Tamandua tetradactyla: one gene and its partners. The protein of the gene in region 1 purifies or fractionates together with the protein of each later gene. This does not show direct contact. Links are inferred from orthologs where the notes say so. Each region holds a gene or a part of one and is shown in the gene's direction. Other genes may lie near its edges.

Evidence for each region.
Region 2: the proteins of CTBP1 (region 1) and MECOM purify together in Homo sapiens (affinity purification with mass spectrometry; 6 studies listed by BioGRID and IntAct, counting the BioPlex papers as one, with this or other methods). This does not show direct contact. The link is inferred for Tamandua tetradactyla from reciprocal best matches to the Homo sapiens genes CTBP1 and MECOM.
Region 3: the proteins of CTBP1 (region 1) and FOXP1 purify together in Homo sapiens (affinity purification with western blotting; 3 studies listed by BioGRID and IntAct, with this or other methods). This does not show direct contact. The link is inferred for Tamandua tetradactyla from reciprocal best matches to the Homo sapiens genes CTBP1 and FOXP1.
Region 4: the proteins of CTBP1 (region 1) and WDCP purify together in Homo sapiens (affinity purification with mass spectrometry; 3 studies listed by BioGRID and IntAct, counting the BioPlex papers as one, with this or other methods). This does not show direct contact. The link is inferred for Tamandua tetradactyla from reciprocal best matches to the Homo sapiens genes CTBP1 and WDCP.

What each region holds. Positions count from the first base shown.
Region 1 is NC_135345.1:919,917-927,829, reverse strand, and holds the start of CTBP1 (C-terminal-binding protein 1), read left to right. Parts: upstream 1-4,560; 5' UTR 4,561-4,610; coding exon 4,611-4,650; intron 4,651-4,849; exon of another isoform or gene 4,850-4,878; intron 4,879-7,913. UniProt on the Homo sapiens protein: Corepressor targeting diverse transcription regulators such as GLIS2 or BCL6. Has dehydrogenase activity. Involved in controlling the equilibrium between tubular and stacked structures in the Golgi complex.
Region 2 is NC_135331.1:66,879,920-66,887,934, reverse strand, and holds the start of MECOM (histone-lysine N-methyltransferase MECOM), read left to right. Parts: upstream 1-4,610; 5' UTR 4,611-4,777; coding exon 4,778-4,925; intron 4,926-8,015.
Region 3 is NC_135341.1:12,429,821-12,437,585, forward strand, and holds the start of FOXP1 (forkhead box protein P1), read left to right. Parts: upstream 1-4,429; 5' UTR 4,430-4,447; intron 4,448-7,765. UniProt on the Homo sapiens protein: Transcriptional repressor. Can act with CTBP1 to synergistically repress transcription but CTPBP1 is not essential. Plays an important role in the specification and differentiation of lung epithelium.
Region 4 is NC_135329.1:7,218,204-7,225,862, reverse strand, and holds the start of WDCP (WD repeat and coiled-coil-containing protein), read left to right. Parts: upstream 1-4,433; 5' UTR 4,434-4,526; intron 4,527-4,711; exon of another isoform or gene 4,712-4,824; intron 4,825-5,966; exon of another isoform or gene 5,967-6,050; intron 6,051-7,659. Other genes in the region: peptidyl-prolyl cis-trans isomerase FKBP1B, read right to left, coding at 2,714-2,750.

The sequences.
Region 1 (7,913 bases):
GTGGCCAGCAATCAGAGCGTACCCCCAGAGTCTGCAGGAGTGGGCCTTCAAGCCGGGCCCCCCCCCCCCCCCCCCCGCCAGCTCCCACAGGTGCACCCGAAGCCCGGGCGGCTACCCCCTCTGCTGCGTGCCAGCGGGCTGGGGCTGGGGCTGGCGACCGCTGCAGGGAGGATAAGGGCCACCGGATTTTCTGCAGTATACCGGGCTCTCCCTCCTGCCCTCCGGCCACTGCAGTGTCCTCTCCATTCCCCAGCAGTCGATTCAGACAGTCCTGCCAGCCCAAGAGCCGCCTTCCCGGAAGGACTGGAGCTTCCTTTGCAGCCGTCTCCCCAGAGCTGGTCTGCTCTTAAATACTGGATAGAATTTAAAAAATGAAACACTTTCACGTGTTTATTTTTTGGGGGTCCCCCTGGGCCTCCTCCTCCCCGAGGCCTGGAGTGCCAGGGAACCCTGCAGCCCCCTGACATGGCCGAGTGGGAAGTGAGGACCCGGCCGTGAGTGCAGGCTGACGCAGCGCGGGGCGGACACTTCCATGCACTCGGAGTCTGCGCCCTGGTGGCCCCTCTCGGCGGCAGCGGGGTGACCAGGCTCCCCCAAGTCCACTGAGCCTGACCCCGTCAGGGCCTGACAGCAGCTCCTAAGACGTAAGCATCATCGGGTCTTCATACTAACTGACTACTGGAGCAGCGTTTCAGCGTAGTTCAAAAGAACCAAGAGCCTAAGGATCGTCTACTGTTCAAGGAGAGAAGTAAAATATCGATATTGGGCATTGGAAGAGCTGTCCTTCCTTAGGAAACCAGCTCAGGTGGCAGAGGGCAAACCCCGGCGCCCAGGCTGGTGCCCCGCTCTCTCCTACAGGAGAAGCCCATTTCTGACCCTCTTCCTTGGTCCACAAAGCGTCTTCTGTAGTCGGCAGAGTTTGGTTTGCTTCAGTGGGGGATGGGGCCGTTGCTGGGATGCTCCTGGCTACAAAGTTGAAGATGGAAGGGTTGGAGGGTCCCCGCGGCCTGTCCTTCCAGGCCCTGAGTTTTCTTCGGGGCGGCGGGGAGCTTCACCAGGACGGCCGGCTGGGCTCGGCCAAGCAGGGTGGGCATGGTGGGAGGTGGGACCGGGGCAGGGACCACCGATGGGCTTGGGGTGGGTGGGGGCTACAGCCAGAGCGGGGACAGCTGGGACAGGGCGAAGATGCACGCCTTGGGCTCTGCAGGCCAGTTCTCTGAAGGTGATTTGGGATGTCAAGGGCCATGGAGGGGCGCGTGGGGGCATTGGGGTGGATGGCCGACCCTCTCCCCAAGCAGGGCCTGTGGCCTCGGTGCCCCTGGCCCATCCAGAGGATTGAGAAGATGCTAAAGGGCCAGGCACATTCAGAATGGTGGATCAATTCCCACGTCCCTACTGAGCAGGGCCCCACCTCAAATACATGGCGGGGTGGGGGGAGCAGGGAGACGGGAGCAACAGGACCCCGTGCCACAGGGGCTGGCAGTGCAGCAAGAAGGAAGTCCAGATGGAAGGTCAGTCTTATATTAGGCTGAGGGTAAGGAGAAGGTGGACATGGAAAGGCAGTGGAGACAGCACGTGCAAAGGCCCTGGGGTGGGAGGGGAGAGAGGCCGCATGGTGGGACAGGGGTTTTGGGGCACTGCTGGAGCGTGGTGGGTGGAGGGGAGACAGGTTAGGGGAACACTGGGGAGGCCTGGGTGCCAGGACCCTACCTGGGATAAGAAACTTGTGTTTCCTGCAGAGCACAGTGGCACGCCCTAAAGGATTTGGGGCAGGGGATGACAGGTTTGCATTTAGGGCCCCTCCCAGGATGGAGGGGTGTGGGAACAGCGGTTGTCAAGGGGACCCGGTCTTCTGGAGGTGGCAGCACAGGGACGGGCGGGACAAGGGAGGAAGCGGCCTGGCTGGGCCAAGGGCTCTGATTTTGGACCAAGTTCTGAGAGTAAGCGGCTGCCTGGGAAGGGGGCGTGGGAAGGGGCAGCGCTGGGGGGGGGGGGGTGTCGGGTCAGCGGGTCTGTCCCGAGCAGCCCCTCTGCTCTGCAGTGACAGAGTTCCCCGCGAGGTCAGCCGGACGCTCACAGCCCCCCTAGGGGCATGCAACTCTTTGTTCATATTAGGTCCCAGGTATGGGTTAGAAGTGCTTGTTTCGTAAATACACTCCCAGTTCCCTGCCCTCCTTTATTGGGTGCCCGCAGGCGTGCCCACTGGTTGAGTCTGAAAGTGTACAGAGAGCTGGGATGGCTTCAGGTCCCCCTGCTGGGCACCCTGGACTGGCCATGGGTTTGGGCCTGTGCTGATGGGATCTAATGATGGGGCTTCCTAAGTTATTCTCCAGTGAGCCTAGCCTCCTGGCATCTCTTGTTCCTTTACGGTTTCATCTAGCGATTCTTCCAGTTGAATTTAGAATAATCTAGTCAAATTTGAAAGGAAATTCAATTGGAATTTTAACTGAAATTTCTTCTAAACTTGGAGAAAAATGGATATCCTGAGAATATTGTTTCTATTTCAGGCCAATGACGCCAACCTTACCTCTCAATAGGTTTCACAGCCTTTTAAACTAGACCCTTCACGTGTTGATGGGCCACGTGTGGATGTTTGATTTATTGGCACTGTGAGTGGGACAGCTTTTCCTAATATAATGTAGTTCATTCGTTGAATGAACTTTCCTGCCTCCGGGAAGGCTCTCCAGTGCTGTGGCAGGCTCTGGGCAGCAGGCAGGCGGCCACGGGGACACTGGGAGTCGCCCCAGGGGGCATGGCGGACACAGGGGCAGGAGGTGGCCGGCCCCACAGCGGGAGTGGCCTGTGACAGGGGCAGGTGAGGGGCGGAGAGCAGGGAGACAAGGGGAGTGGCCTCTTGAGGGCTTGGATGGGGGACTGCGTGTGCACAGAGGGCCTGGGCACAGCTCCTCCAAGGACGGTGGGCTCCCAGGCCCGCAGGGGCGTCCACGGCGGAAAGTCCCAGAAGCCGCAGATTCTGGAAGGCTGAGGTTGGCGACTTTGAAGGCCGCCCATTAGCCAAGTGCAACAAAGCAGAGGTTTGGAAGCAAATGTTGCAACTTAGGTTTATGTCCCCACATGTGCACACACACGCATGTGTTTCTCCATCTGTGGAATTTCTGACTTAAATGATCCTTTTGGGTTCGTAAATGAGCCTGAGGGGGAGGAAGCTGTTTGCTTGTGTAGGGAGCAGGGGACAGGCCATGCCCAGAAGTTAAGGGGGTGGGGGTGGAATCACCGCTGCCCCTTTGCCAGCAGCACACCTTGAAGCAGGCGCAGGTAGGGGCAGGCCTCAGGAGCAGGTAGAAGTTAATGCGCCTCCAGTGACACGCTGCCCCTGGGTTGCTCTATTGATGAACCTTCCCAGCTATCTCGGGACTGGGCCAGAGCCGGCGGGTGCCGCGGTGAGCCCCGCCCGGGCCGACGTGCCTGCGCCCAGGTGTGCAGGCCGCTTTGCAGGTGCCAACAGGGCCTTCCCCGTGAGTGCCCTAGGCGGGCTCTGGTGGCAGGCGTCGGCGCCTCACAACCCGGCCCAGCCCTGTGCTGGGGGAGATAAGGCGAAAGGAGGCCCTGCTGCCTTCCCCGGGTCCGGGCCGCCGCGCACCAAGCCCGGGGCTGGCCGGGCTTTCTCTGTCGCGCCCGCAGGGGTGTCCTCGGGCCGCCCTGCGCCCTCCTGTCTCTCCGGCCCCGCGCCCCGTCCCCCCTCCCGCCCCTTGACCCCAGGCCCCAGGCTCTGGTCCCTTGTTCCCCAGCTCCGCGGCCCCCAGGCCCTTGCCTGCATCCTCCAGCCCGGCATCCCCCGACTCCGCGCCCCTCCCCTCATCCCCCAGCCCCGCATCCCCCGGCACCGTGCCACCCGCACCCCCCAGTCCCGCGCACCCTGGCTCCACGCCCCCCCGGGGCCCTTGCCCGCATCCCCAGCTCCGCGACCCCCGGCCCCTTGCCCGCATCCCCCAGCCCCGCATCCCTGGGTCCTGCATCCCCCGACCCCTTGCCTGCACCCCCCAGCCCCCGGTCCCCCGGCTCCACGCCCCCTGGGCCCTTGCCCGCATCCCCCAGCCCCGCATCCCCCGGCACCGTGCCACTCGCACCCCCCAGCCCCGCGTACCCTGGCTCCGCTCCCCCCGGACCCCTTGCCCGCATCCCCAGCTCCGCGTTCCCCGGCTCCGCGCCCCCCGGCCCCTTGCCTGCATCCCCCAGCCCCGGATCCCCCGGCTCTGAGCCCCCCGCATCCCCCGCTCCGCTCCCCCCGCATCCCCCGGGCCCGCATCCCCCGCTCCGCGCCCCCCGCATCCCGGGGCGGGAGGGCGGCGTCGCTGCCAGGCCAGGGCGGGGCCGGCGGGCGCGCCCTGCAGCCGCCCGCGTCGGTCCGGCGCGGCGCGCTCGCCTGGAAACACGAGATTAATGCGGCCGCGCAAGCCCCGCCCGCCGCCGCGCGCCGCCGCCGCTCTGCGTCCCCGCCCGCTCGGAGGCGGCTGCTCGGCGCGGCGCGGCGCGATCGGCTCGGCGGCCCCGGGCGCAGGCGGGCGGAGCAGCGGACGGCGCAGGGCCCAGGCGCCGGGCTCGGCGGAGCGCGCCGCACTCGTCGGGGCCGCGGCCGCCCGCGCCTTTCAATGGGCAGCTCGCACTTGCTCAACAAGGGCCTGCCTCTCGGTGAGCGGGCCGCGCTTCCGGCCGGCGGGGGGCGGCGGCGCGGGGGGCGGGGAACGGCCGGCGGGCGGGGGGCGCGGGGGCGGGCCGAGCGCGCGCCGCGGGCGCCGCTTTGTGTGCGAGTGCGCGTGCGCGCCCGCCGGCCGGGGGCGGGGCCGCGCGCGGGCGCGGGCGCGGGCTGCTGAGTGCGCGTGCGCGGAGCCGCCGTCACGCCCGGCCGGGTCGGCGCAGGTGACACAAAGGGGCCGGCGCGGCGGGAGGGGCAGCCGGGCGCGCCGGCCGTCGGACCCCAGACCCGGCTGTCGTCCGACACCCAGATCCGGGTCCCCTCGGACCCCAGAGCCGTCCCTTTGCACCCCCAGACCCGTCTTCTCGGACCTCCAGTCCCGGTTCCCTCGGACCCCCAGACCCGGTTCTCCTCGGACCCACAGACCCGGTCTCCTTGGACCCGAGACCCGGCCCACGGCCCTGCGGCCTGGTCCTCTCGGACTCCCAGACCCGGGTCTCCTCGGACCCCCAGTCCCGGTCCCCTGGGATCCCCAGTTCCAGCCCACGACCCTGCGGCCCGGCCCCCTCCGACTCCCAAACCCGGTTCCCTTGGACCCCCAGACCTGGTCCCATTGGATCCGCTGATCTGGCCCATGACCCTGCACCCGGTCCCCTCGGACCCCCATTCCTGAGTCCCTCAGATCCCCAGACCCGGTCCCCTCGGACCCCCAGACCCGGTCCCCTCAGACCCCCAGACCCGGTCCCCTCGGACCCCCAGATCCGGGTTGCCTTGGGATCCCCAGATCTGGCCCACGATCCTGTGGCCCGGTCCCCTCAGACCCAGTGTCCTCAGACCCTGATGTCCGGCGGGGCCCCATTGGATCCCCAGACCCAGGTCACATCGAACCCCAGACCCAGAGTTGCTGCCCTGCAGCCCAGCCCTCTCATAGCCCCAGTCCTACAGCTGGCTGGGTGGACCCCCAGATCCAGCCCACAACCCTACTGCCGGGTCCCATCAGACCCCCAGATCTGGCCTGCAGCTCTGCACCCTAACCTCATCAGACCCCCAGACGCAGGTCCTACCATACCTTCAGACCTGGGCCTACCCGGTTCCAGGCTTGTTGGACCTCCAGAACCTGGCCTGCAGTTTTTTGGCCCAGCCCATTTGACCCCCAGTCCCAGGTCCCACTGGACCCTCAGAGCTGCGTTTCATCTTAGATCTGCCCCCCATCCTCGCCCCCCACCCCCGTCCTGGATGTCAGCCTGTGAGTTGCCCCGACCGGTCCCTGCTGGAGCCGGGCTGGCCTCGTTGGGCGGTCAGCAGAGCCTCCTGCTCTGTTTAAGTCGCCTTCCTGTCCTGGAGCCTCCTGCTCTGTTTAAGTCGCCTTCCTGTCCCGGAGCCTCCTGCTCTGTTTAAGTCGCCTTCCTGTCCCGGAGCCTCCTGCTCTGTTTAAGTCGCCTTCCTGTCCCGGAGCCTCCTGCTCTGTTTAAGTCGCCTTTCTGTCCCGGAGCCCGGGTTGGCGTCCGTTGTGTTTGGAGCATGCTGGGGTGTGCTTTTGGTGCTTCTGCGGCGCGCAAGCAGCCGGTTCACCCATCGACTTGCTTTGCAAGAAGGAGACAGCTCTCCCTCCGCCTGGGGATGTTTACTGTGTGTGACCAGGGGTGGGAGTCAGAAGGCGGTCGCGAGTGTGTTGGCCCAGCACTGCCCCCCGCCCGTTTCCTGTGGGTGGGGGTGGGGGCTGCTGGCCGACCCGGGCCTCTGTGACGTCCGAAGGCGAGGCGGCCGGCCCTCAGGTTAAGGGAGGTGACCCCAGGCTGCCGCTGTCGCACCGCAGCCCAGCTTTGCCCTTAGGCCTCTTGCTTTGAATTTTTTTGTCCCCGGTTTGTGTGTGTAAAATTAGGACGCAGCTGTCCGGCGGGCGGGAGGGCAGCCGTTCCCTCTGTGCTGCCGGCTGGAAGGCCCAGGCATTGGCCCTGCGACGTGGGTGTGTGGGGTGTGTCCGTGTCCCCCCGTGGGTGGAGGGGCCGCTGCTGGGGCACCCCCGCGGGCACCCCAGCGACACAGAGTCTGTGCATCACGAGGCACCTTGGTCTCCCCTCCTGGCATCCGAGCGCCAGCGCAGGGCCCTTCGGCTCCAGGCCCAGGCGAATGCAGGCCTTGCTCTGAGCGGCCCTCACCCAGGCCACTTTGTCACTTGCGCACGGCCCTCCGTGGCCATTTTGCAGTTCCTGGTCGCGTCCCCGCAGCGTGGCCTTCCTCGTGGCAGGAGCACTTCCGGGGTGGAGCGTCCCCGGGTCCTGCCTGGCCCGCCCGCCTCGGCTGCCCCCTCCTCGGCCCCTCCCTGTGCCCGCAGCGGCAAGGTCAGGCGGGAGCCGGGGGAGGGGGCCGCACCTGAGCCGGAGGCTTGGAGACTGGAACCTTCCCTGGCAGGGTGCCCAGCCCGGCCTTTGCCTGGGGACCTGCTTAACCCTTTGCTGCCTGCTGGAAGAAGGGCCGCCCCAGGAGGGACAGGGAACCCGTGGGCGGCCCTGGCTGTGGCCGTGGCCCTGCGGCTGAGCTGGGCTGTCACTCTTGCCACAGGGAAGCCAAACACGTCTAGCTTTCTGGGGTTTCCCTCCGTGGCCGCCGCCCTCCAGGGTCAGGCCGTGGGCCTGGAGGTGGCCGTGCCTGGGGAGATTGGGGGCTGCAGAAGCTGTAACCCTCCGCCCTGCAGCTCCCTCCCTCTCTCTACCTCCCCGTCCCCGTTCTCTCCTGCTGGGGAACCCCGCCCCCGCAGCCTGGTTTCCGGCCAGGACCCAGGACCCTCTTCAACAGTGACGACTTTGCCAAGTGTCCGGCAGTCTGTGCTCATGGTGAGCGGTCCAGTGTTTGAGAGGAGGGCCTGGGGACGTGCCCCTGGCAGTCTCCCCCGGCAGTCTCCCCCCTCAGCCTCCCTACCAGCAGTCTCCCCCCCCAGCAGTCTTCCCCCCCAGTTTCCCCCCCAGGCAGAGTCCCACCAATCTCCCCCCCCCCGTATCTTCCCCTCAACAGTCTCCCCTCTCAGTATCTCCCCCCAGCCTCTCCCCGCCAGCAGTCTCTCCCCAACTGTCTTCCCCCATCCCTCCCCCACCAGCAGTCTCCCCCAGTCTCCCCCCAGCAGTCTCCCCCCCAGCCTCCCCCCCTCCGCAGCCTCCCCCCCTCCGCAGCCTCCCCCCACTCTCCCCCGCAGCAGTTTCTCCCTGCAAGCCGTCTCACCCCCAGTCTCCCCCCGAGCATGCCCTGTGTCTTTGGAGCGGAT
Region 2 (8,015 bases), on another chromosome or scaffold:
TCCCTGAAAGGTCACGCGGGCTCTCAGTAATTTCCTTTTGCCTAAGGCTCCCTTTTCACTTTTACTCCGGCACGACAGCTCCGAGTACATGGGATCTTTATTTTTTATTTTAACCCCTAAATGCAACCCCTCCCGAAAACAATGCAGACAAGAAAAATCGAATAAAATCAACTCGAGACCTTTTCGCTCAGCTCACTCGCAGGCGCCCTCCCCTCTCGCTCCTTTCTTTATTCCCGTCCCGCCCCCTCCTTTTCCGACCCACTCTCCCCAACTCAGATGTATTCTGGACACTATTTAATAGACGAGTGTCTTGCAAGTAAACTCAGGCGTCCCTTGGGTCTGCATTTCATATCTGTGACTCTCTCCCTTTCTCTCCTGTGGACTGAAAATTCGGATTTAAACCACTAGACAAGCTATTAATTTAGCTAGGCTACCCAGGGTCCTGAACCCAATTAATTTCTAATAATTATAGCCCAAGGGGGCTAGATAGATCTCCCTGACTCTTTCTTTTATTGCCACTCCACGCCACCGAGGTCAGCATATAATAATAAAGTGTATATTTTGAAAGCGATCGCCAGAACAGTGAGTTATTGCAATGAATGAAAATTGTTTCCATTTTGGCTAATTGAGCTGGTGGCCGAAAGCTGGAGCTCTGAGACTAAATAAAGAGGACTGTTTCATTTCAACATGAAGAAACCCCTGCCTAGCTCTGGTCACCCAGTGAGAGTTTAATTTCTTAACAGCCACCCTGAAACCCAGCGTTGGGTAAACAGTATTAATAATTGCATTACAATGATTAAATTAATCTCGCTGGTAGCCAGGAGAATATAGGTTGCGATTGAATGGAACGATGTAAAGTTCACTGCACAAAGACAATAGGCCAAGAAATACCTTCATAAAGAATTCAAACTTTCTTCCAAAGATACTGTGGGGTTGGTTCAATTATAATGCTAGAAAAAGAAAATTTCCTGTTGCATGGAATGTGTTGAAATTCGGTTCTTTGCCGTTTCTAGGATTAATTCAAGAGGCAACCAGAGAAGGGGTGTGCGTCTCTCCTCCCCTAAAATTAACCAATTTCTCCCGTCTCCCATCTCGATCTCCCTGGAACAAACAAATGAACAACAACAAAAAAAAGTAAAAAAGAAAAAAAAGAAAGAAATGCACCCCCCTCCCCGAAAAAAAAATTGGCAATAATAAAAGAAGCAAACCCAAACAGCTCATAAACTCGTTCGATTTTTCCAATGAGGCACGCCCGCTTCCGTGGGACGAAGCTTGTGAAAACACCGGGACCCGTGCAACTGCCCCTCCAAGAAAAACGAATTTCAGGAGGAGAGAGAAGGGCGGGCAGTGGGGGCAGCGCGGGCAGCCCGGCGGCTCTGCCAACTTGTGGACGGCCTCTTTTCTCTTGGGCCAGCGACACTTTAGACGACCCGTCAGAGGGTTTCTGGAACTCCGCGGGGCGGTTGAGCAGAAAGTCACCTGCTCGGGTCCCACGGCTGGGACCTGGGGCAGGTGGGACTGACGGGATCCAGGCTCTTGGGAACGGGAACCGGCCAGGGCCGGGCCGTGGGGGCGCGGGCAGTACCCGCGGGGAGCGCGGCCGGGCTGCTGCTGGGCGTTTGCTCCATCAGGTTAAACACACTTGAACCAGCCATTTAGCTTTTTATTGACACACATACACAGAAAAAGCAACCGGCAAAGAAAGAAAGAAAGAAAGAAAAAGGCAGGGGAGGAAAAAAAAAGGAAAAGAAACACAGGTTTCGAGTTTGGAAAAACAAAGGGGGGTGGTGGTGGTAACGTGAATACTTTTATTAAATAAAAAAGTAAGCTTTGTCTCTTCACAATATCCTGACCAGGGCGGGGGCGGGGGTGATCAGAGGAGTTTGCTTTGATTTCAGTTACCAGGGGCTGAGCGCCCTCGGCAGCTCTCCCCTCCAAACCGGGTAGGAACCCGACAGCTATTAATGGGGTTCGGAAATGCTTGGAAAGAGCAGACAGGAAGATGCCAGCGCAGACACGACACTCACCCCACGAACTTTCAGAAACAGGAGGATGCCCGTGCCTCCCCTCCACACACCCCCTCCACGTCTTCTAGAAGTTTGAAAGACAGGGACTTTTAAATTGGGGGGACAGGAAAACTCTGATTCGGTTCTCTTCGGTCTTTCACCTCCCACCAAGTTCCCTTCACACACCCACCCCACCCCCTAGTCCGCCACGTGGTCTGTCATTTCTCAGGAGAACCAATTCCTGTTTCACTTGTGGGTCTTTTATTTTAATCTCTGGGTTTGGGTCAATGGTCCCTTAGTTCTCTCGAAAATTCCCCGCCATTTCTCTTAATCCCCCCCCCCCCCCCGGTACCTAGATGTAGACAGACCCCCTGGGGATGAAATGAAAGGAATTAACGGGAGGAGTGGAGCGCAAGACCGAAACTCTAACTTTCTCTCTTTTTCAATAATTCTCAGAGGTCAGAAGGTGAAATGAAATGTCCCAGGTTGAGGTGCGGAGCCTCTTCCTAGCCAGGGCGCTGCGCATGTGCCTGGACCCCGGGCCCTGCTAACTCCAGCTCCCTCCTTGGGGACCTAGGCTGTAATCCTTAGACGCCTTCTCAATTTCGACAACCCGGAAGGGCCGGTCCCCGGGTCGCTGACCCTCGGTCCTGTGGCCTAGGCGACCGTCCCCAAACAGCATTGATCAGACGCTGCCTCAGAACTGCTTGCTCACCAGCTTGGCGTGTTTCTCTCTCCTAGAGATTTTGCTCCTTTTGGGAAGCTGAGCCTCCATTTCCCCCTTTACTGGCCAGTAAAGCCATTCCTCCATCTAACCTGAACGGGGCTAACAGATTTAAATTTTTGGAGTCAAATGCCGGTGGAAACCCACAACCAGAAGGTTGTAGTAGCAAGTATTTTTATTATTATTTTTTTTATTGTACATGCCAATGTGTAAGCACACCCACCTGGACGCATTTGGCAAGAGGAACTGCAGAGGGGCTAGAAAAACCCACGTGCCTCTCTAGTCCAGAGGGGATGATAGAATTCTCTCGTAACATGTGCTTGGGCACCAGAGCCTTCTCCATTGGAAGTTATTTCCCTCCTGCTCTCTGTAATTCCCTCCTCCGCCTCCCCCTTCCCTTCCTCACATTTCAACATTGCAAATCTGTCTCCCTTGGGACCTGTAGCGTGGCTCTCCAGAGACCTGTATCCTACAGCCAAATGCCCCTGGAATTACGCAGTTCTGGAGAAAGAAAAAAATGGTGGGCATCCTTAGCAGAGCAGCCAAAGTTCAAAGACCAGAGAATCCTTTGAACTTTGGTTTCCTGGAATAAAGATATTTGCGGGACATCAATGCCCTTTCATGCTGGATCTTTCTACCTGTTCTTCTCACACCTCCAGTCCTAGTTTTTCCAATAAATGCCGATATAAAACAACTGGGTTTTCTCAAAGATCCCCCTTGCCCTCCCCTGCCTTCGACAAACTCATATCCAGGATCTACTTTTCTTTTTCCCTTTCCTTCAACTTGAACATCCAGGATGTATTGTCCTAGTAAGGAGGCTGAAAAGATTGTAATTTTCTTTTATGGTGTCTGTCAGGATTTGCAACAGATATTAATGGGGACATAAATAGCACATGGAAGGTATTGAACAAAACTGTTTAATGCAAGAAGGTTGTACCAGGAGAAAATCTATACTTAGTTGGAATTAATTCATACCTTGAATACAGCTTGCCCCTTTAGAAGTTCCCCATTTCTGTGTTCCCACTTCCACTGGTAAATCCTGTAATTAAAGCGAATTTCAACAATGTCTTTTTTAAGGGCAGGGGGAGGAAAAAGTTCCCCCTCCTCCTCCTTGTGACCCCGGAGATTGTAGGGTTCCAGCGAATGAGTGAAAATGGCAGACAGGCAGAGCTGCAGCAGAAGGCGACAGGGGCAGCGATGGCAGAGGCCGGAAGGTGACACCGGACCTCGGGGAAGGCAGAAGGTCTTGGATGTCAAATGCCCGCGCCTGCCCGGACGTTGAGATCAAGAGTGGTCACTGCTGCTTGGTGGGAATAGACCACTAAAATGTTCCAAGGACGACAGCAAGCGTTGGTATTATACCTAAAACCCAGAAACATTTATTTATTCTGCTTCCATCTCTGAAAGCGGAAGCCACAATAGCTTTAGTAGCAGCAGCAGTACTAGCAGATTTCCCGGAGTTCAGGATGAGTCCCACTTTCTCCTGGGCCATTTGCGGAGGGTTCAGCCCTTCTCCTAGTTCTTACGTATGGGAAAGATTTTTAAAGTTTTTTTTTTCTCTTCCTGCACTTCTTACGTTCTCCCATAGATGGTACAGATAATTTTCTGCAATTTATGGCGGGGGAAAAATAATAATAGTAATGATACAGGCTTGGCTTATCGGTGATTCCAACACGTAAGCCTCTGTCAGAGCCTTCTCATTCCTTCCCTTTTTTGGGGGGGGGGGGCTCGAGGTGTCGGCTCCCCTCCGGCTACCCGCGCCCGCTCCCCGCCCCCCGCCGCCCTCCCCACGGCTCCCTTTCTCCGCCTCCTCGGCGATTGCCATCTGACAAGATCTCCAAATCAAAGTGATAAATCGCTCCAAACTTTTTTTGGCGGCGCTGAGATGTTGGAGGGGCGTCTAGCGCGCATGTGCGAAGGTGTCCAAACTGACAATGCTGGAGAGATAGCGAGTGTGGATTGAGAGAAAAGGAGAGAGGGAGGGAGAGAGAGAAAGAGGGAAAGACAGAGAGTGAGTGCGTGGAAGTGTGTGTGTGTGTGTGTGTGTATGAGAGAGAGAGTGAGAGAGGGAGGGAGCGAGAGGGAGAGCAAAAGAAGGAAAAGATCCAAGAAAAAAAAACCCCAACCACACACCAGCGGCTGCAGGACTGGGCACAGCATGAGATCCAAAGGCAGGGCAAGGAAACTGGCCACAAGTAGGTGCAATATCCCTTTTCTATTGGCTTTCCCCCCTCCTCTGCCATCTTGCATATCTGTCTCCAGCGCTCCGGGAGGGAGCGCGGGGCTGCGTGTCGCGCGGGGCCCGGGGTGGAGGGGAGGTACAGCGCAGCCCCAGCAACCTGCCGGTCCCTGCCGCCGCCGCCGCGCCCGCCCGCCCGCACTCTCGCTTCTGGTTTGGGAGCCGGAGGTGCGGGGGCTGCGCTCAACCCTGCGCACCGACCAGCTGTGGCAGCCCCGGGGTGGGGGTGGGGGTGGGGGCAGCAAAGACGGGGTGGGAGGGAGAAGAGCGCGAGAGCAAGCGGGAAGGGGTTGGGGGGGGAGGGAGAGGAGAAGGGAGAGCGTCTCCCCCTTCCCTCCCCTCCCCCCAGACGGGGGAGAGTCGCTTCTGGCCAACCAGCTAGTCCCGAGTGTGGGAGGAGGGGGGGTGGGAGCGAGAGATGGGGGGGGACGCGAGGGGGCGGGCAGGGGAAAGTAGCATTTTTGAGCCTCGGTTTGTTTCTGGGGTTTCGGGTGGTGGCAGGCTGGGAAGCAGCCACAGTGGCGGCGGCGACAGGCGGCCAGCAGTGGAGTTGGGAAAAGTTGCAAGGCGGCCGCTGGAAGTTGCGCGGGCCGGCGGGCTGCGCCGAGCCGCGCGGGTGCTGTAGTGGGCGCTGTGAGCTCGGCTGTGGCTCTCCCGCGTGCGCCGCGCGGCTGGAGAACTGAGGCGGGGTGGGGGGTGGGGGGTGGGGGTAGAGTGGAGGGAGATGCGGGAGGGGGGCTGTAATGTGTGTGGGGGGTCATCTGCAGAATAGAGCCACTGGCTCCTCCGAGTCGCGGGCAGGTGAGAGAGCAGAGGCCCAGTGAGCGCGTGGAGAGCGGGGCGCGGAGGGCGCGCACCCAGCAACTACAGCCGCCGAGGAGAAAGGGCCGAGCGCGCGCGCTGGGGCCGGCAAGCCCCGGGCTGGCTGGACGCCGAGCGACCCCCAGGGGGCGGGCTGCGGGAACGCGGGGCTGTGCAGAGGGCGCGGCGGAGCCTCGGCTCTTCCTCTAGGCGCAGCCCCCCGGGCCCGGGTCGCTTACCCTCCCCGGCGCCCCCTGCCTGCCCGGCGCGGAGCGAGCGGCCTTGGTCACGCCGGGACCGGGCCTATTGGGTACGGGGTGGGGCCGGCGGGACCCCCATTCCGGACCCTTTTTCTCCAAAAGTGGTGGGTGTACCGACCGGCTTGGCGGGCTGAACTGCTACTGTGCGAGATGGCGCGGGCCTCAGCCTGGACTGGAGGCGACCGGGATGGGTCTGTCCAGATGCTTCGACCTCAAGTGCAAGGGGACTCGCGGCGCCGAGACCCGAGCGGCCCTGAGCGCTCCCGCACTGGGGATCGGCACGCGGGGTGGCCGCTGCGGCGGGAGACTACCCGCAGCCGCTCACTCTACACACGCCGGCGGCCGCCGCAAACAGAGCTCTCTAATTGTTTTGTCGGTGGAGTAGAGCCGGGAAAGATGGAGGGTGGGATGCAGCTCCCCAGAGAAACTTCCAGGCTTCCCCCTCCTCCCTTGTACTTGAGAACCAAAATCTGGCGCTCCCACCCCCTCCTAGCGTCCCGCGGCGGCGACCCAGCGGCTGGCCGGGTATAGCGGGCGGTGGGAATCCGCACTCCAGCCTAGCGCTCTGCCGGGCTCGTAAGCGCTTTTCCTGGCCTCGGCCAAGCACTCCCTTCATGTCCAGAAACTTGTCTTTCGCCCGGGTCTTAGGGATCCACCTAAGTGTGGGGCTTCTAGGGTCATCAGTTCATTTATTTCTTTCTCTTTGGGATGTTGGTCATTTCACTTCGCTGCGGCAGTGTCAAAGCGCGCCAGTGCAGCTCTTTTTTCCTGTTTGGTTTTCATAGGAGGCCGCTGTTTTTATTTTCATCCGAGGGGGGGGAAATGTCTATATGCTTGGAAGCCGGGGGGCTTCAATTCCCACTAAAGGTTTGTAGAGGGGGTGGGGGGTGGCGTGGGGGGCTGGGGTGTGTGCGTGGGGGGGGCGTGTTTCACCCCTGCCTCAATTGTGTGAAATGAAAGCCGAAGGCTTCGCGCGCCTGATTGCCCAGTATCCGCCGAAGTGAAAGCAGAACACAAACCCCTTAGAATTTTCTCGAGCAACTTTTCCAACTGTTTAAATTGCCAAATGTACGCTGCTGAGATGAAAATATCTCTCCCGCACAGCTCCCTCCATATTCCTCTTCAATCCGAGTCCCGAGCGTTTCTGATCGGATACTTGTCATTCATTTGATGGAAGACCCGTTTATTTTGTGTCGGTCTCTGAGGAGGCCACTGTCGCTTTCTGATGGCTAAATCAGGACACTTACAAACTTTTCTTGCTGAGCTTCAGGTTCCGGCTTGCGTTGCTCCAGTTGTGGCCGCCGCAGCTGACTTTTCTCAGACAGAAGCGGTGCTTTCTGCAATTCTTCAGTTACAATCTGGGTAATAAAGGAATCATATTAAAACCATGCTTTTTTTTTTTTTTTTTGTATTTTAAAGCGCTATTTCCTTTCCTCGAGTGGCACGCGAGTTTCCTAGCGCGTGGTGGAGATGGTAGGTGACCCCTGTGGTGCAACCGTGTAACGAAAACTTCGCCTCTCCGCCTGTACCGGTTCTTTCTTTTGCTGGGTTAGAAAGGGTCAGCCTACTTTAAAAAATAAACTCTACCTTTTTCGTTGCAAAAGTAAACAGTGGAAACAAGTCACGTAGAAACGGTTGTTTTCTCGGTGGCTTGTTATTCTTTTTGCCATTTGTAAAATTCCACGTAGCCGTAAGTCCTGACTCGTCTTGGCTACTGTGCAGTAGCCCGTGGACCCGAGACCAGGGACTCCATACAGACCCTAAGAGTACCTGCCACCCTGCACTTACACCCAGAAATGAACGCCGACCCAGTCTCCAACTTGTAGGATTTGCTTTATGCACAGTAGTTGAGACCGAGAAATTCGTTTCGAATCATCTGGGAGGATTTAAAAGCTTAATTAAAACCTAAAGAAGAGGAAAAGCAAGAAGACTGACATTCGTACTGTTCAAAGCCCTTGGCTTTTATTCCCATCTTTAAGAAAAGT
Region 3 (7,765 bases), on another chromosome or scaffold:
TCAATATTGGAGACAAGGACCTGTCTGCATCAGAATTTCCCAGGGTCAGAATTTCCCAGGGTACTTCGTAGAAATGCAGATTCCTGGGACCTGATTAGGAATCTCTGGACTGAGAGTCAGGAATTTGCATTTCAGGCTGATGTTTCAGTTGCACAATGATGCTTGCAAACTATGGCCTTGGTGATTGATGGTGCTGCCATGTAAATGATAGGTGAGCTGGGAAGAGAACAGGGATGGGTTGGATTTTTTTTTTTTTTTTTTTTAATTTTTTTGAGGCCTGTGCCTTGTTTTGCTACTGAATTTACTTTTCATTTACCCACAAGCTCTCTATTATTTTGGCTTCCCCTTTCCTTCGGATGTTAGAGAACCTTCTTCCTGAAATTATCTCCTGTGGGCCTGAACTCATCTTTTACAATGTTCTTTAGAGAGATGATAAACTTCTGTTTGTCTGAAAAGATCTTTATTTTACTCTCATTTCTGAAAGTTAGTTTTTTATAGTATGCAGTTCTAGGTGGACAGGTTTTATCTCTGGGATGCTTATTTGGATAATTTATTTGGATATTTATCTTCTCTTCTGTTCTTTATTTTACTTGCTGTGTTTTTCATTTCTAGAGCTCAGAGGGAATTTTGGCCAAAGTTATAGAGCTTGGTGGAGATGGAATTCAGCTCTGGGTCTGCTGAACTCATAACAAACACACACACAAAAATAGAATTTTTTTTTCCCCGTAAACCACAGTGGTGATCCTGCCTTTATTTTTTGATATGCCTGGTTACTTTCATGCAATAGGAAACTAAGTAAGACAGCAGTGAAGGTCATACTCTTAAAGCATTGTTTAGCTAACTTATGTCTTAGCTGTGACACCTGTGGGGCTATTCCAATCCTGAATGAAAAGTAAGCTCCCGCATGAAGTCTCCCACCAGCTCAGCCCTCTTACTTCTGCTCCTACCTTGTGGAGGACCTTCTCCACCCTGTCTTCCAATTCCTTTCAAAACCGCTCGAGATACTTCCTCTTGACGGAGCTCCCGTTGGTCCCGATGCCTGCCGCGCGTTCCTCTGCTCACTTGTACAGCTCCTCGGTGCTTCTAAATGTGCTAGGATCATAGAACTGGAGACTGGAATGCTCTAAGCCATCACTTGGTTCAGGGCTTGCAAGGTTTTTTGTTGTTTCTTTTTTAATATAAACTATTAAAAATTAGCCACCATCTTTGCAAAACATGACATTTCACAAAATAGAAATAGGGATTACTGGCTGTATTTGTAGAACTGAAAGCTTGAGAAGCCCTGTGTCCCTACATGGCGCTGACTGGCTGGCGAGGCTCTGGGGCTGTCCCCTGTGGCAGGGAAACTGGGGCCTACTCGTTCCCACATTCTTCACCTTTTGTTGTTACCTGACTCCTGGCCTGCTTCACTGGTATGGCTTATCTGGCCGGTCATGTGGGCATTTGAGATGGGGATACCTGCCTTAGTTTAGCCCTTTCTGTGAGAACAAAGGCACTTGTGCTCAGAGAGGTTTAGTGTCCTGTACAAGGTCTCACAGCCAGAACTCACTTGCACAAGCTGGAGTGCGAAGGGTCTCTTGTACAGTGTAGGCGCTCAAAATGTCTGTATTGGCCTGAAAAACATGCTGCTCTTACGAGCACGAGCTTTATACAGTCAGCCTCTGCTACTGTGTGATCTTGGGCAAGTTCCTATCTGTGAGTCAATTTATCTTCAAATTGAGCTTATAATAATAGTGTCTACCAGGGCCTTTGTTGCAAGAATATGATACAATAAAATAACTATTGTAAATTGTTTAAAACAAAATCCAGGTCTTGGTGAGTTTTCAGTAAATGGCAATTATGTTTTTATAGGATGCTGAAGAACTTTGTTCTTTTAGTTGTTGATTCATTTGTTCATTCTATAAATATGTATCAAGTGAGCCAGGCATTTTTTTAACGTTTTGGGACACCGTGATGAATAGAAAGAGGGAAGTTCCCTTGCATCAGTCAGGGTTGGGTTCTCCAGAGAAACAGAACCAATAGGATATGTGGGTATATTTTAAGAGATTTATTTTGAGGAATTGGCCCATGTGATTGTGGGGGTGGCAAGTCCATAATCTGTAGGGAAGGCCAACAAGCTGGAAACTCAGGCAGATGTTTGTATTTTATCCTGAAGATGGTGAGCAGCCTTACCTCATTTCTTTTTGCTGTGCTAAGGTAGACCCTGTAGCTTTTGGGGGGCCTTTCGGAGCCTTGGTGACACTTCCTGGGTCTGAAGGCTGACTGGGTTTAGAGAATGGGGCTTCATTATGTTCTTGTCTTGATGCAGAATTTCTTGTCCAGGAAACCCAAGTTTTTGCCCTTATGATTTTCAGCTGATTGATGACTACCTATGTTATCTAGCATAGTCACCTCTACTTTGTCAACTGATTGTGGGTGTTAACCATATCTACAAAATACCTTCACGGCAACACCCAGACTAGTGTTTGACCAAACAACTGGACACTGCACTCCAGCCAAACTGATACATGTAATGAACCATCACATCCCTTATCTCCACCTCTTATCCCTTATCTTCCAGAGAATAAGTAAGAAAAAGTGTTTCTGATTTTGACAAGAACTGTGGAGTAAACGAGTAGAACGATATACTTGAGAGAAACTTTGGGGCCCTCGCTTAAATAACTGCTCAGGATAGAAGGCCTCTTGAAGTGGCCTTTGTCCCTAATACCCAATGGTGAGAAAGAGCCCGTTGTGTAGGACTAGCTTCCTGGCATTCTATGTCGCTGAGGTACAGGTGTACTGGCGCTGAGACAGGACAACTCTTGGCTTGCTAGAATGAAAAGAAGGTCACTGGATCTGTTCTGTAGTTGGGGGTTGGGTTAGTGGTTTGAGGTGATCTCAGAGAAGCAGAGTGCTAGATTATGCAGGGCCTTCTAGGCCAAGGAAAGAAGTTTGGATTTTGTCCTGTAGACAGTGAGCAGCCTTGCCCCTTTTCTTTTTGCCATGCAGTGTAGACCCTGTAGCTTTGTGGGGGACCTCTCTGAGCCTTGGGGAGTGCTTCCTGGTTCTCTCTGGGGTTTGGAGAATGGGGCTTTGTCATTTGGACTCAAAGATGTTGGCAGCATCAGCATCCCCTGGAAACTTGTTGGAAATGTAGGATCTCAAGTCCTACTCCAGACCCTATTGAGTCAGAAGCTCTTGGGCCAGGGCCCAGGAATCTGGATTCTAAGAAGCTTTCCAGGTAATTCTTATGCACACTAAACATCGAGAAGCACTGATCTAGAATGCATTCAGACAGATTTTCATAGGATTTGGATCTGTGCTCTCTGAAGAGTAATACGTGGGCACCCAGGGGATGCTGTAAGCTGCTAAGGGTTGAGCACTGATGCCAGAGTGAAAATTTTCGGAATCTGCAGAGCTCTCTGCCACAGCATATCTTTGATGTTGATGGCAGTTTGGCTTAAGAATGATTTGTGATTAAAAAACAAAAACAAAAAATGACCTTTTAAACAGGAAAAGAGAAGTTAATAGTTTTAGTTATTTAGAATATGTAAGCTCTGTGAAAAAATACAGAGAAGCTTGAAAGTGGAAGGGACTGGGAGAGCATAGCTAATGTCCTGACCTTGTGAATGAAGAGGCTGGAGACCAGAGATGTTAAATGGCTCTCCTGGGGCCACACAGCTGATTAGTGATAATACCCAGGTCCCAGATTCAGGCTTCTCAGCTTTGAGGCCTGTGTATTACACAGTGGGTTCTTTCTTAATGAATATATTTCCATGAGTATTGCTCCTTATGTATTTCATAACCGTGTTTAGAATGAAATATTATTTGGGGAGAAAAAAATAATTATGTGTATCTCCTTTACTGGTTTTAATGTTCTTTTTTTTTTTAAATCTTAGTACTGTGTGTACTTTGGACATCTTAAATCATTATTATTTAATATTGTCATATGTATTTTCATTCTCTGGAAGAGACCTTTACTTAATAGGAAATGGTTCATTTCTCCACTTAAGATTTGCGTTAAAACAGTTTCGCATTAGCTGAACACTTTTTAGTAGGGTGTGATGTTTTGTAATGCTAAAATATTTTAAATCTTTGGTACAAAGTTTATAATAACTAGCAACCGTTTGGTGTATTTGTTGAAGCAGTTGGTAAACATGTCTTTCAAAGCAATATTTCCGGTTCATATTTTACAGCATCACACTTGTATATTGACATACCCTTGCTTGAAGGGTGTTTTCCCCTACCTCTAGGCTATATGTCTGTCTTGCTGTTTTCAAGATTAAGGAAGTGGTGGTTTTAGAAGTTACATCTTAGTTATGGGTAAAAAATATTTTTGTGTTGCAGTGTTCCAGGAGCTTTTGCTGACAATTCCAGTTTCCGAACAAAACATTTGGGCAATGGTGATCCCTTCTCCGATCTGCTGTCAGCCATGAATGGATGGATGTGATGCCTGCTAGCTGAAGGGGTGAGTGCATATTTATGATTATTTGTCTGAAAAGCCACAGGACAAAAATTCTGCCTACCCCACACAGTGCAAGAAGCATAAAAATCTTGAGCCATCGGGACAATTACCCATTGAGGAGAGAATCTCATTGTGAAAGCAGAGACATACTATCTTGATTTTCTGGTTTAACCTTTTCAGACAACTCATAGAGTGCTCTGAGGATTTAAAAAGGCATAATATGACAGAAGAACTTTTTTTTCATTGCTTGTTTGTTTTCATCATACACAGAAGGGTGGACTATCTAAATTATGAACCACATGCAAAATTGTGTAATTGCTTTTTACATTACAACTTGGTGATAAAATAAATATACCATCATGAAATAAGGCTATAATTACCTCCCCATGAGTGTTTGGGATAAATTTAAGTCTGATTTGTTCATTGAGAAGATTCCACCCAAACCTTTCACATTATTAGAGTTCTTAAAGAAGCCAAAATGTTGGAAATTTTGGATTCTCAAAGGTTTTCTGAAAGACTTCTGGTCATATTTTTTCAGTAATATAATTTACCTCATTAAATTATTCATCGTTATTTTAGGGGTGTTTAGAAGGGGTGTGATTATCTTTTCCATGTAGGTGTATTTTTTGTATTGGTTAGTGTTTTTCATGTTCCTCAGAAACTGATGGATCCCCTTTAAAAATCAATTAATTATGACTTGCTGTTATCAGTTACCATTAATTGGCTGAGGCCAGGTGTTTTGGTTAAAAACTCTGCCAACATTCTATGGTAGCTTTTTCAGAATGAGAACAGCATTATGGGGAGCCATTTACTTTCAGATTTCATACTGGATGGCATTTAATGGAAAGAAACCATTGGCATAAATTCATCTTATTTACCCTAGTGAAGTTGTATTAGCAATACATTTTATTTAATGGTGGGAAGTGTAGTGAAGTAGAAAGAGCACTGAATTGAAAATTGGAAGACCTAATAGTTATTAACTTTGGGCAAGTTAATCTGTCTATGGTTTGATTTCCTCTATTTGAAATAAAGCAGGTAGGTTAGAGAATTCTTTTCTGTCACTGCTCACAAAGCCCTAGAAGTTGTCTATTTAAATACTCTTATTTTACAAATGGGGCCACTGTGGCTGATAGAAGCTAATTGAGAAATGGTTAATGGAGCTGTTCTAGGTCTCCAATCATTTTACTAGGTGGTCTTGAGCAAAGCTTTTGGTTCCCTCATCTATGAAGCCCTTCTGAGGATTTTCCATTGTTGGGAAGCTACAATAGACTTTAGCGAATGATCTGTAGGTCATGAACAAAGAGCGAGTACATGACAAGAAGATAGTGTGATAAGAGAAGAATATATCTTTGGGGATGCAGATAGAGTTAAAAAGAAAGCCTGGCATACCTCAGAATTCATAGAAGTGGTTGGAATTCTGAGGGTATTGAAATAGCAACAAGCTCAGGTTAGGTTACCTGTCATCTCTGTCTTCAGTATTGAGAGAGTCTGACTCAATTTCACTATCATAAAATTGATGTATGAAATTTAAGAAAACCACATGAATAAGTTTATTGAAGACTAAGCCTATTTTATTCAGTTGGGTAAGGCCCATTGTTTAAAAAAAATCGTTCTGAAGAACTATACTGAAAATATCTCTTTTGACTTGATAAAAAGTACTGTTAGGCCCAGCTGCATACCAGTTTCTTCTAAATAAGGAAGTATTTTGTGTTTATCAGATTGTAATAAACTTCCCTTCGCTGTAGTTTTAGTAGGAGATAGAGACACAGAATCTGATGAGCTGGTTCATATGTTCGGATTTTCTATCCTCTTCCTTAGTTTTCCTTGGGGCACACCTCCAAGGTTGACTGAAAGCAGTAATTATCTCCCAACCTCCTCCCTCCAGATGATGCAATAACCTGGTATTCCATGCATGATATACCTGATAGCTACTTAGCCATTTCATTGTCAAAAATTCATTCAATATAGGGTTTCTGTTTGGAATGATAGAAAAGTTTTGGTAATGGATGGTGGTGAGGGCCACAAAACTTCATGGATGCAATTAATACCACTAATTTGTAAGGTTAAAATGGAAAGCTTATATATATGTTACCACAATAAATTTTTTTAAAAGCATCAATAAGAGTAAGTTTTATTTATTTATACTTGCAATAAATTGCCTCAGTTGAAAAGAAGGAATTTTAAAACCAACTTTGTTCTGTACCAGACAAACACACTTTAACATATCTTGTGCTTTCTTTTCCTTTTTCCTCCCTTCTTATGCCTCAGACATTTTCATATCCTCCCCCTATGCCTTGTTTCGCCCTCTCTCTCTCTGCCCCTTTTCCTTCAATAAAACCAGTTTTTTTTTTTAATTGAACAAAAGTAAAAAGCATTCTAAACAACCACTTTAGCTGGGACTCTGCTTTTTGGAACAGAGCATTTTACAAAGCGAAGATCGCAAAACTGTTACCTTTGGTTAAATGGAAAATAATTAAAAAAAAATAACATTCACTGACAGCCCCGTGGCTTTGAGAACTCTAAAGTTTATTGAGTAACCAAAAGAAGCACCCATTTGTTGTCATGGCTGATAAGTTGGAGCCTTTAGGCTTGAAGGAGACCCTCACTCTGAGTGGAGTGTTCCACGATAATCCTCCCGTGGTCGACCGGCTCACAGTCATGGATGTAGCCAAGAGAACAACATGTTGCCTCACTCAGGTGCGAGGAAATGAAACTGAGATAAAATGTTTTCACAAACAGATCATTCTGGCAAATTTTTAAGGCCATAAAATGGGTAATGTGCTCGGTTTATGTTGATGATAATAACTATGCCTTCGTAATAAATTAACCTAGGGGCAGGATGCACAGAAACCACTTCTGGTCTCTCAGCGATGGGTTCTCGGATGCCGCTGTTCACTGGCAGGGAATCGGGGTTTGCTCCTGTTTCCCTGGCAAGAAGCCTTAGTGGATATCAGTACCTATATGATGCATATCACAAGACTTCAAGAGTGAAGGGGTGACTAAGGCTACTGCATAGTTAATAGGCAGTTAGCCACAGTGTTATTAATAAATGTGATAATTATAGCCTGGATTTGCGTAGAGTTTTCCTTAGAAGTGGTGACTGGAGATGGCGGATAGGCTGGCTTGTCAGTCCCTGCCTTGACATTGCACTATCCCTTCCGATAAATTGTCCCTTGCTGGTGTACCTGCTGTAAAGTTGGTAAGTGTCACCTGACATTGTTTTGGCTCCAGTGGTATTCCCTTATTCCCTTGTTTGCCATCTCTTCTTCTTTTGCTCCCCCTCATAATCAAGCTTCTGACTTTCTAGGAAAAGGTGAAAGC
Region 4 (7,659 bases), on another chromosome or scaffold:
ACTTGACAGGATTAGCAGAATACTGGGGAAGAGCACTGCAGGAAGAGAGAGAGACAAGGGCACAAAGCTTGAGACAGGAAAGGATCAGTGTATTTGCAGACTTTAAAGGAGGCCAGGCGATTGGAAAGAAGTGGGTGGGGAGGGGAAAGGAGGGAAAAAGAACTGGATTTACTTCTAAGTGCAATGGAAGTTACTGGAGGGTTTTAAGCAACAGAATGACATAATCTGAAGGAAGGTTTTATTTATTTATTTACTTATCTTATAAGATTGCTCTGGCTGACTGCTGTGTTCAGGGTGGATGGCTAGGCATTTGTTGCAATGATCCAGACCAGGAAATCAATAATGACTTGAATTAAGGCAGTGGTAGCAGAGGAAAGAGTAAAGCAGAGTGTAGTAGAGTGAAGATATATTCTGGAAGCGAAGCTGACACGCAGGCTAATGGATTGGATGTGGGGTCCAGGATGCTGGAAAAGGAGAAAACAAGAACCAGGCCTGGGTTCACAGTTTGGGCAACTGAGTGGGCAGTAGAGCTATTTCCTGGGACAGGGAAGATGGGAGGGACCCAGATTTGTGCAGGTGGCAATCAAGAGATGCGAGTCTATAGGTAGGCAGGTAGGAGGTAGGCAGATGGAGGGTCTGCACTGGAGATAAAAGTTGGGGTGGAATTTAAAGGCCAGGGGCTGGAAAACAAAGCCTAGAAAGGCTAACGACCAAGCATTTAGGGTACTCCAAGAAAGCACAGAGTAGGGAGCAAGTAACCAACTGGGAGAGTGAGGGAGAGCATCGTAGAGGAGATAATGCTTAAGCCGGGCCCTAAAAGATGAGTAGGAGTTTGCCAGAGGAAGTAAAGGGAGATCATCTGAGATAAGGAACTGGTGAGCTAGGGTCATGGCTACAACGCCAGGGCCCTGTGCGCTGCAAATGTGTAACACGTATTTGCTGAATGAATGGTGTGGCTAGCAACATTCAGGCAGCTTGGTCAAACTGGAGAAAACCCTGGTAATGAGAGCAGGGATAGGTGGTGACATGACGTGCTGGTGGAGAGGCTAAGAGGCCACATCACCAAGGCCCAGCTTGCCTGGAGAAGGGACTGAAGAGACTTTAAAATATGTGATGCCTGGGGGAGGGGCATGGTCAGATATGCAGTGTAACAAACGCTCTGAGGCCCTGGTGTAGACAGAGAGGGTGGGAGGAGGCCAGATGAAGGCAGGGAGGTGAGCCCTAAAGCCAGGAAGTGAGATTAAGACAGGGAGACCAGTTTGGAGGCTGTGGAGAAATCCAGGTGAGAGCTGATGGTGGCCTGACCTAGGGCAGGGCTGGGGTCATGGAGCCTAGACACAATAAGCAAGAAGACAACTGCTACCAAAGGCAGGCGTCCCCAGCATAGCAGCAGATTTGTGGAAACATTAACTCAGATTTTTCCCTCCTGACCCTTTCGTGCTTCCCTGAGTCAAGGGTTTAGACAGGGCTGACAGCAGGAAGCCACAGCTCTTCTTAGGCTTTCCCTAAAAATCTGATTCCCCTCCAGAAGAGAAATACCCCCTTGTCCCTGACCAAGGAGGGAGAATAAAGAGAGAAGCCTCTAAAGGCAGAGAGAAGAGGCCCCAGGGAAAAACTCTCTGGCTGTGCCCTGGGGTGGGCCGCTAGGCCCTGGGAAATGCTTCCTGGGGCCCAGGCACCAGGGGTCTCATGGTGGACAAAGAAGCGTGTAACCCACTGCGCTCCAAGGTACCCGCGGGGGCTTCTAGAGACCACTACCATAGAACAAGGGGTGGGGGTGGCCTGGAACCAAGAGGCCCTCCACATTTCCTGGGGGGAGCAGTGTTCCATAATTATTCGTGGGAAAGTTTGTGTCAAACCCTACACCATGGCTGATCCACTCGGAATGAAATCGTATTTAAAAACGAAAGAAATGGCTATTTCTTGCACACCCAGGCCCAATCATACAAGGATGACTCCTTCCTTGGGTGCCTGGCTTGGGGAAGCGAGGCTGGGAGGAGGGAACGCAGAAAAAGGCCGTGCTTGAGGGACGGGGGTGGGGTGCCTGAGTTGTGCGTGGACTTGCCGACTGGGAGGTGTCCCTGGTCACCCAGGTGGGAGGTCGCGCAGCGGCTGGACACCCGGAACCCTGGAACTCAAGTCGGAGGTCTGGGCTGGAGGTTTACGTTTGGGAGCCATAGGTTTGCAGATGATAATAAGAGCCACGGCAGTGGGCAAGACCCGCAGGAAGGTGAATGGGGCGGGGAGAAGACAGTTCGGTGCAGGGGCGGCGGCGGAGCGCTGCTCGCGTCCCCGGCTGGCTCCCGGTGCCCAGGCGCAGGAGCCCGCCCCCCGAGGCCCGGCCTGGAGCGCGTTCGGAGGGGGTCGTTTCCAGAGCAGGTCCCTCCCCCGCTTTCCAGGGCTCTGCTGGGCGGATAACCGAGCCCTGCAAAATCAGTAGCGACGGATAACCCAGCGGGTCCGTCGGGGACTTCCAGGGCGGCCGCCGGGCGCAGACCCCCCGGTCTCTGCACTAAGTGGGCGCGCGAGGAAGGGGATGGCGGCAGACGGTCTTCCAGACCCCTAGGAATCCCGTCCGGGGTCTCCTCCCGCCGTCCCCACCCCGGACCCCCGCCCCGTGCCGCGGCGCTCCGGGTGCCACCTCCGAAGCAGCCCCCGCCCGCCCGGCTCCGCCCCGGGACCCCTGCCCGGCCCCCGCGCCGCCGCCCGGTACCGTCTCCGGGGGAGATGGTCTCGATCTCCACGCCCATCGCGGTCCCGCAGGCCCCGCCTCCGGGGGTCCCCGCTGCTGCCCCGGCCCCGGCCCGGCCCCGCTGGCGGAGTCTCCGGCTCGCCTCCCCGCCGCCACTGCAGAGCCCGAGGAGGTGCGGCTGGAGTCGGGCCCCGCGCGGGGAGGGGCGGCCGGGGCGCGGGCGGCGGGGCGGAGCCGCGCGGCGAGGTGGGGTCGGCCGGGGAGGGGCCCGGGTAGGGACCCTGCAGGGCTGCTCCCCTGCCCCGCCCGCTGACCGGCAGGAACCCGCCGGCCGGGAGGCCGGAGAGGGAGGCAGCAGGCAGTGGGGCAGGAACGCGCCCTCCGCACCCCGCCGCGGGTCCAGTCAATAGCTATTTATTTAGCACCTACTGTGTGCTAAATTCTGGGTAGTCTCCCGGGTCCTGGAAACCAGGCGAGCAAGCCGGCAATTTAAGCAACGCTTTAATTAGATGTGCTCCCTGGCCTGGGTGCTAAGAGCTGTGGGCGCGCTTGGAAGGCACCGACCCTAGAGGGGGTGAGGCGGGGGGGTGTCTAAGGGGGCACCAGGCGCTGCTGACCTTCCCCCACGCTCCCTAATCCTCCGTTCACCATTTTGTGTACTTAGGCTTCACACACACTTATTGAGGGCCCTCTTTTCCAGGGAAAGTGTTGCCTGCGGATACCACTTGAATTAAGCAGGACCGCTGTCCTCGAGTTGCTGAGCCTGTGACCGGCGGGGGGACACTGACAGGCACAGCGCCTTGAGCGGTTAGTCCGAGACCCTTCATCTCAACCCAAAAGGGATTCGGGAATCTGGAAAGAATTTTTGGGAGGGGGTAGCATGTGCTTGAAGGACGAATGGACGCTAAAACAATCTCTCTTTTTTCTCATTCTTCCCTGCACTGTTCCGAAAACTGCTGTGAAGGTGTATGACTCTGCCGCGTGGCACTGGAAGATGGGCTTGGGGCGAAAAGGTGCCCAGAGTGGGCCCTCGAGGTGTCCTTCCCCCATCTTCTCCCCCACCCCAGGCGGTTAGGTCAGAGGCTTCAGGGTGTCAGCATCCCTGAAGGACTCTGGGTTGTTCCAAGCTCAAGAAAGATGAAGGTCAGCCTTCCATGGGGTCCAGACCTGAAAGTCTCCTGCGCACGGCCCAGACTCTCCCAGGAGTGGAGCTGGTCTGAAGAAAGGAGCCCGGGCTGCACTGCCAGCTCCTTGGGTTGTGATCACACGCAGGCACCTTTTGGGTAGAGCAGGATCTGTGACTGCCGCAGGTCCAGGGAGCCGCTTCAACTGAATGCACTGTATTTCGTGTATACATAACATTGGCATTGACGGGGTATTTTACCATAAATTAAAGAGGTCCTCGAGTCTCACCTCCTTACCTCCCCCCCCCCCCCCAAAAAAAAAAAACAAAGATGAGAAACCGTGGTTGATGCTATGGTTCCCGTACTCCTTAGACTAAGAGGGCGGACAGAAAGAGGGGGACGGGGCTAAACAGGTGAAACTAGGGAGAAATTGTGCCTGGCTTACGGTCCGTGGACCTTAGTAGGGACTACAACTCCCAGAGATCCGTGCGACAGAGCCCCAGCTTATTGGTTGGGAAGAAGGACGCCCTCTTAACTTGACATACACGATAGCCAATAGGCAGGGGCATTGTGGAGGTCGCCCAGCCATCGCTGGCCTATCAGAGGACTAGGGGCCGATGCTTCCGGTACCTGTGGGGGCCTCGGGTCGGCGGGCTGGTGAGGTGGGGCGCTTTGGGGAGACTGGCCTTCGGTGGGGCAGTGAGACCCAGGTACTTTGTCCACTGCTGCGGGGTCTGGCCGGTGTGGGGTGGCTGCGGGTGGGCGGAGGGACCGGCGTGTGGGGAGAGCGGGGGCTCGGGAGTGCGGAGACGGTGGCGGTCCCGCGTGTGAGGAGCAGGAGGGCGAGGACGCCGGGCGCGGATTTAGACGTGGAGACCGCTGGTGTCTTTTGAAGCAACACTTCCTAAAGAAGGCGGGCAGCCTGTAAAGAGCACGGGCCTCCGTCACACCGTTATTCATAATAGAATAAAGTGGGCTCCAGCCCGCGTGCCCCATGGGGAGGAGTAGGTCAGTAAATTACGTCATTTCACTAAGGGAATATTGACCTCTAAGTGTACTTTATAAAAATTTTAAGTAGTATGAGAAAATGCTAACGTATGATGTTAAGTGGAAAAAAAAAAGTGATAAAATTATGCAATGTAATTGAAAGGCATTAACAACTAAAACCGGTGCATAGAAAAAAGCCTGGAAGGATGTAGTTATAATTTTCTATGGATAAACGGATTTTTGTGAACTTGTGTTTTTACGTTTCTTTTTTTCCCCCCTCAAATTAAATGTAAAGAATTTGAAACTTTTTTTTTTTATAATGCAGACGCAATAAACTTAGAAACCTAGAGAAACTAATAGGCGTAGGTACCTCTGTGTAAGCCTGCTGGAAATGCACCAGGTCACCTAAGCCCTTTGATTCTCACGGTGGATGTCTTTAGAGAAGATTAAGAACAGAAGGATTAAATGGTCAGATACTGAGCACCAGGACCTGTTTCTGACCACCTCTCCCAAGGACTAATAAGAGTGGTCTTTTCTCTCCCTAAAACACCTTAGCTACCACAATGTGGAAACACCTTGGCTAGTCTCTGTGGGAATTCAAGGATGAGTGAGGCAGGCCTCCTAATTTTAGCAGTCTGTAGTCTGGGTGTTGAGAAACCAACTGGTAACTTCAAACAAAATGTAAATTTTTGAAAGATGGAGAATAATAGGGAATACTTGAGGGTTATTTCAGCCTTGGTCTCACTTACTGATCTTTTGCAGTGAGCTTGCCTACTGCTTTGGCTTTAACTACCAAGCCCATGCCAAGTGATTCCCAAATCTTCATGGCTAACTGCGTAAGATGCATTGCTAAATTCTTAAATGAACCACTTCCAATACTGAACATACCATACCCTACACACCTTTCTCACTACGAAAGCCTGTATCTCGTTAATGGTTCTGCAGTTTCCCAAGCTAAAAATCTTCCTATTATCCTTGATTCTTCTTTCTTCCTCACCACTCCTATCTGATACCATTATCTGTTCCATCTGCCCTTGAAATATCTCTTGAACTTTTTCCCCTTATCCTGCTGACATAGCTACGTACTTGGCTCACATTCTCACTCTGGCATTCGAACTATTTCATGGCACCTTCTTAAACTTGGCAGCCTTCTTTCTTCTCAGGTCTGTCCTGCTCATTGTCACGTGAATGTGTGCTGGTCCCTCCCAAATTCCAAATTCTGCAGCAGGCCCTTTATAATCACGAAGGTAAGGTTGGAAAAGTTATCAGTATCAGAAAATGTAATGCTTTACTATGACATTTTGAGTAATTTTTTTTTCTACTTAGAAAAGTAGTAATTACTTTTCTACTGTGGGCTGTGGAGACTCATCAAAGGTTTTTGAGCAAAGGACAAGATGATCAGAGCTGTGCTTTTTTTTTTTTTAAAGCTAATTCTGCTTGAATACAACTAGTGTCCAGGCTATTTTGGAAGGAGAGGAAACTAGTATTAAGGGGATCACTCCTTATTTTACTCTACTAAAACAGGAGATATGGTCAGAAATTAGACTACCACGGTATCAGGAGAAGTAGAAATAGATTTCTATAGATTATTATAAGTACTGCTAGACTTTTGAGAAAAATATGCCAGTATTCTTGTCACTTCTAAAAATCTCAGTAACCTTATTTTTGTTTCTCTTTTATTTGCAAATTCTTAGATGCTATTCCTGTTCACATACCTTTTCAGCGACGTTAGACAGATTTGGAGTGGCTTAAAACATGTCCTATAAATTACCTTAGATATAATTGTCCCATTAGGAATTTTCTCTGCCCAGGAGAATGCATTATGTATTATTTATCAAGAGAACTCTTAAAATTCATAAGTAGATACTAGGGAAAAAAACATACATTATCTTATGCAAGACCAGTGGGATAGAGAGTACACTTCTTTTTTCATTAGATGATAATAACAGGAGACTTATTTTTCCATTTGGCAAGTCACTGAAGAACTGCTTAATCTGACATCATATATAGAAGCATAACATACCCTTCCTTTTTAGTAAGACTCTGAGAGTAAGGGTGAACCTAGCAAGGATCCAGGCAGTGTTGTAGAAAATACGTTTCCTTGGATTTAGAGTCTGAAGGCTTCTTTTCAAGTTCTGTCTTTTTATTTTCTATTATTTTAATTATAGAAGTTGTAGGCTTACCAAAAAGTCATGCATAAAATACAGAGTTCACATATACCATCCTATTATTAACGCCTTGCATTAGTATGGTGTATTTGTTTCAATTCATAGAAGAATATTTTCATAATTGTTCCATTATGTATAGTCCATCGTTTGCAGTAGGGTTCACTGTTTGTATTGTACGGTCCTATTTTTTTTTTTTTATTAATTAAAGAAAAAAAAAGAAATTAACACAACATTTAGAAATCATTCCATTTTACATATGCAATCAGTAATTCTTAACATCATCACATAGATGCATGATCATCATTTCTTAGTACATTTGCATCGATTTAGGAAAAGAACTAGCAAAACAACAAAAAGATATAGAGTTAATATAGAGAAAAAAATAAAAATAATAATAAAAAAAAGAAAAGGAAAAAGAAAAAAACAAAAGACATGAACAAACAAACAAACAAACAAAATTATAGCTCAGATGCAGCTTCATTCAGTGTTTTAACATAATTACATTACAATTAGGTATTATTGTGCTGTCCATTTTTGAGTTTTTGTATCTAGTCCTGTTGCACAGTCTGTATCCCTTCAGCTCCAATTACCCATTATCTTACCTGTTTCTAACTCTTGCTGGTCTCTGGTAGGTCCTATTTTTTTAATATAACTTTTATTCTGGTAACATACAACCTTTAATTTCCCT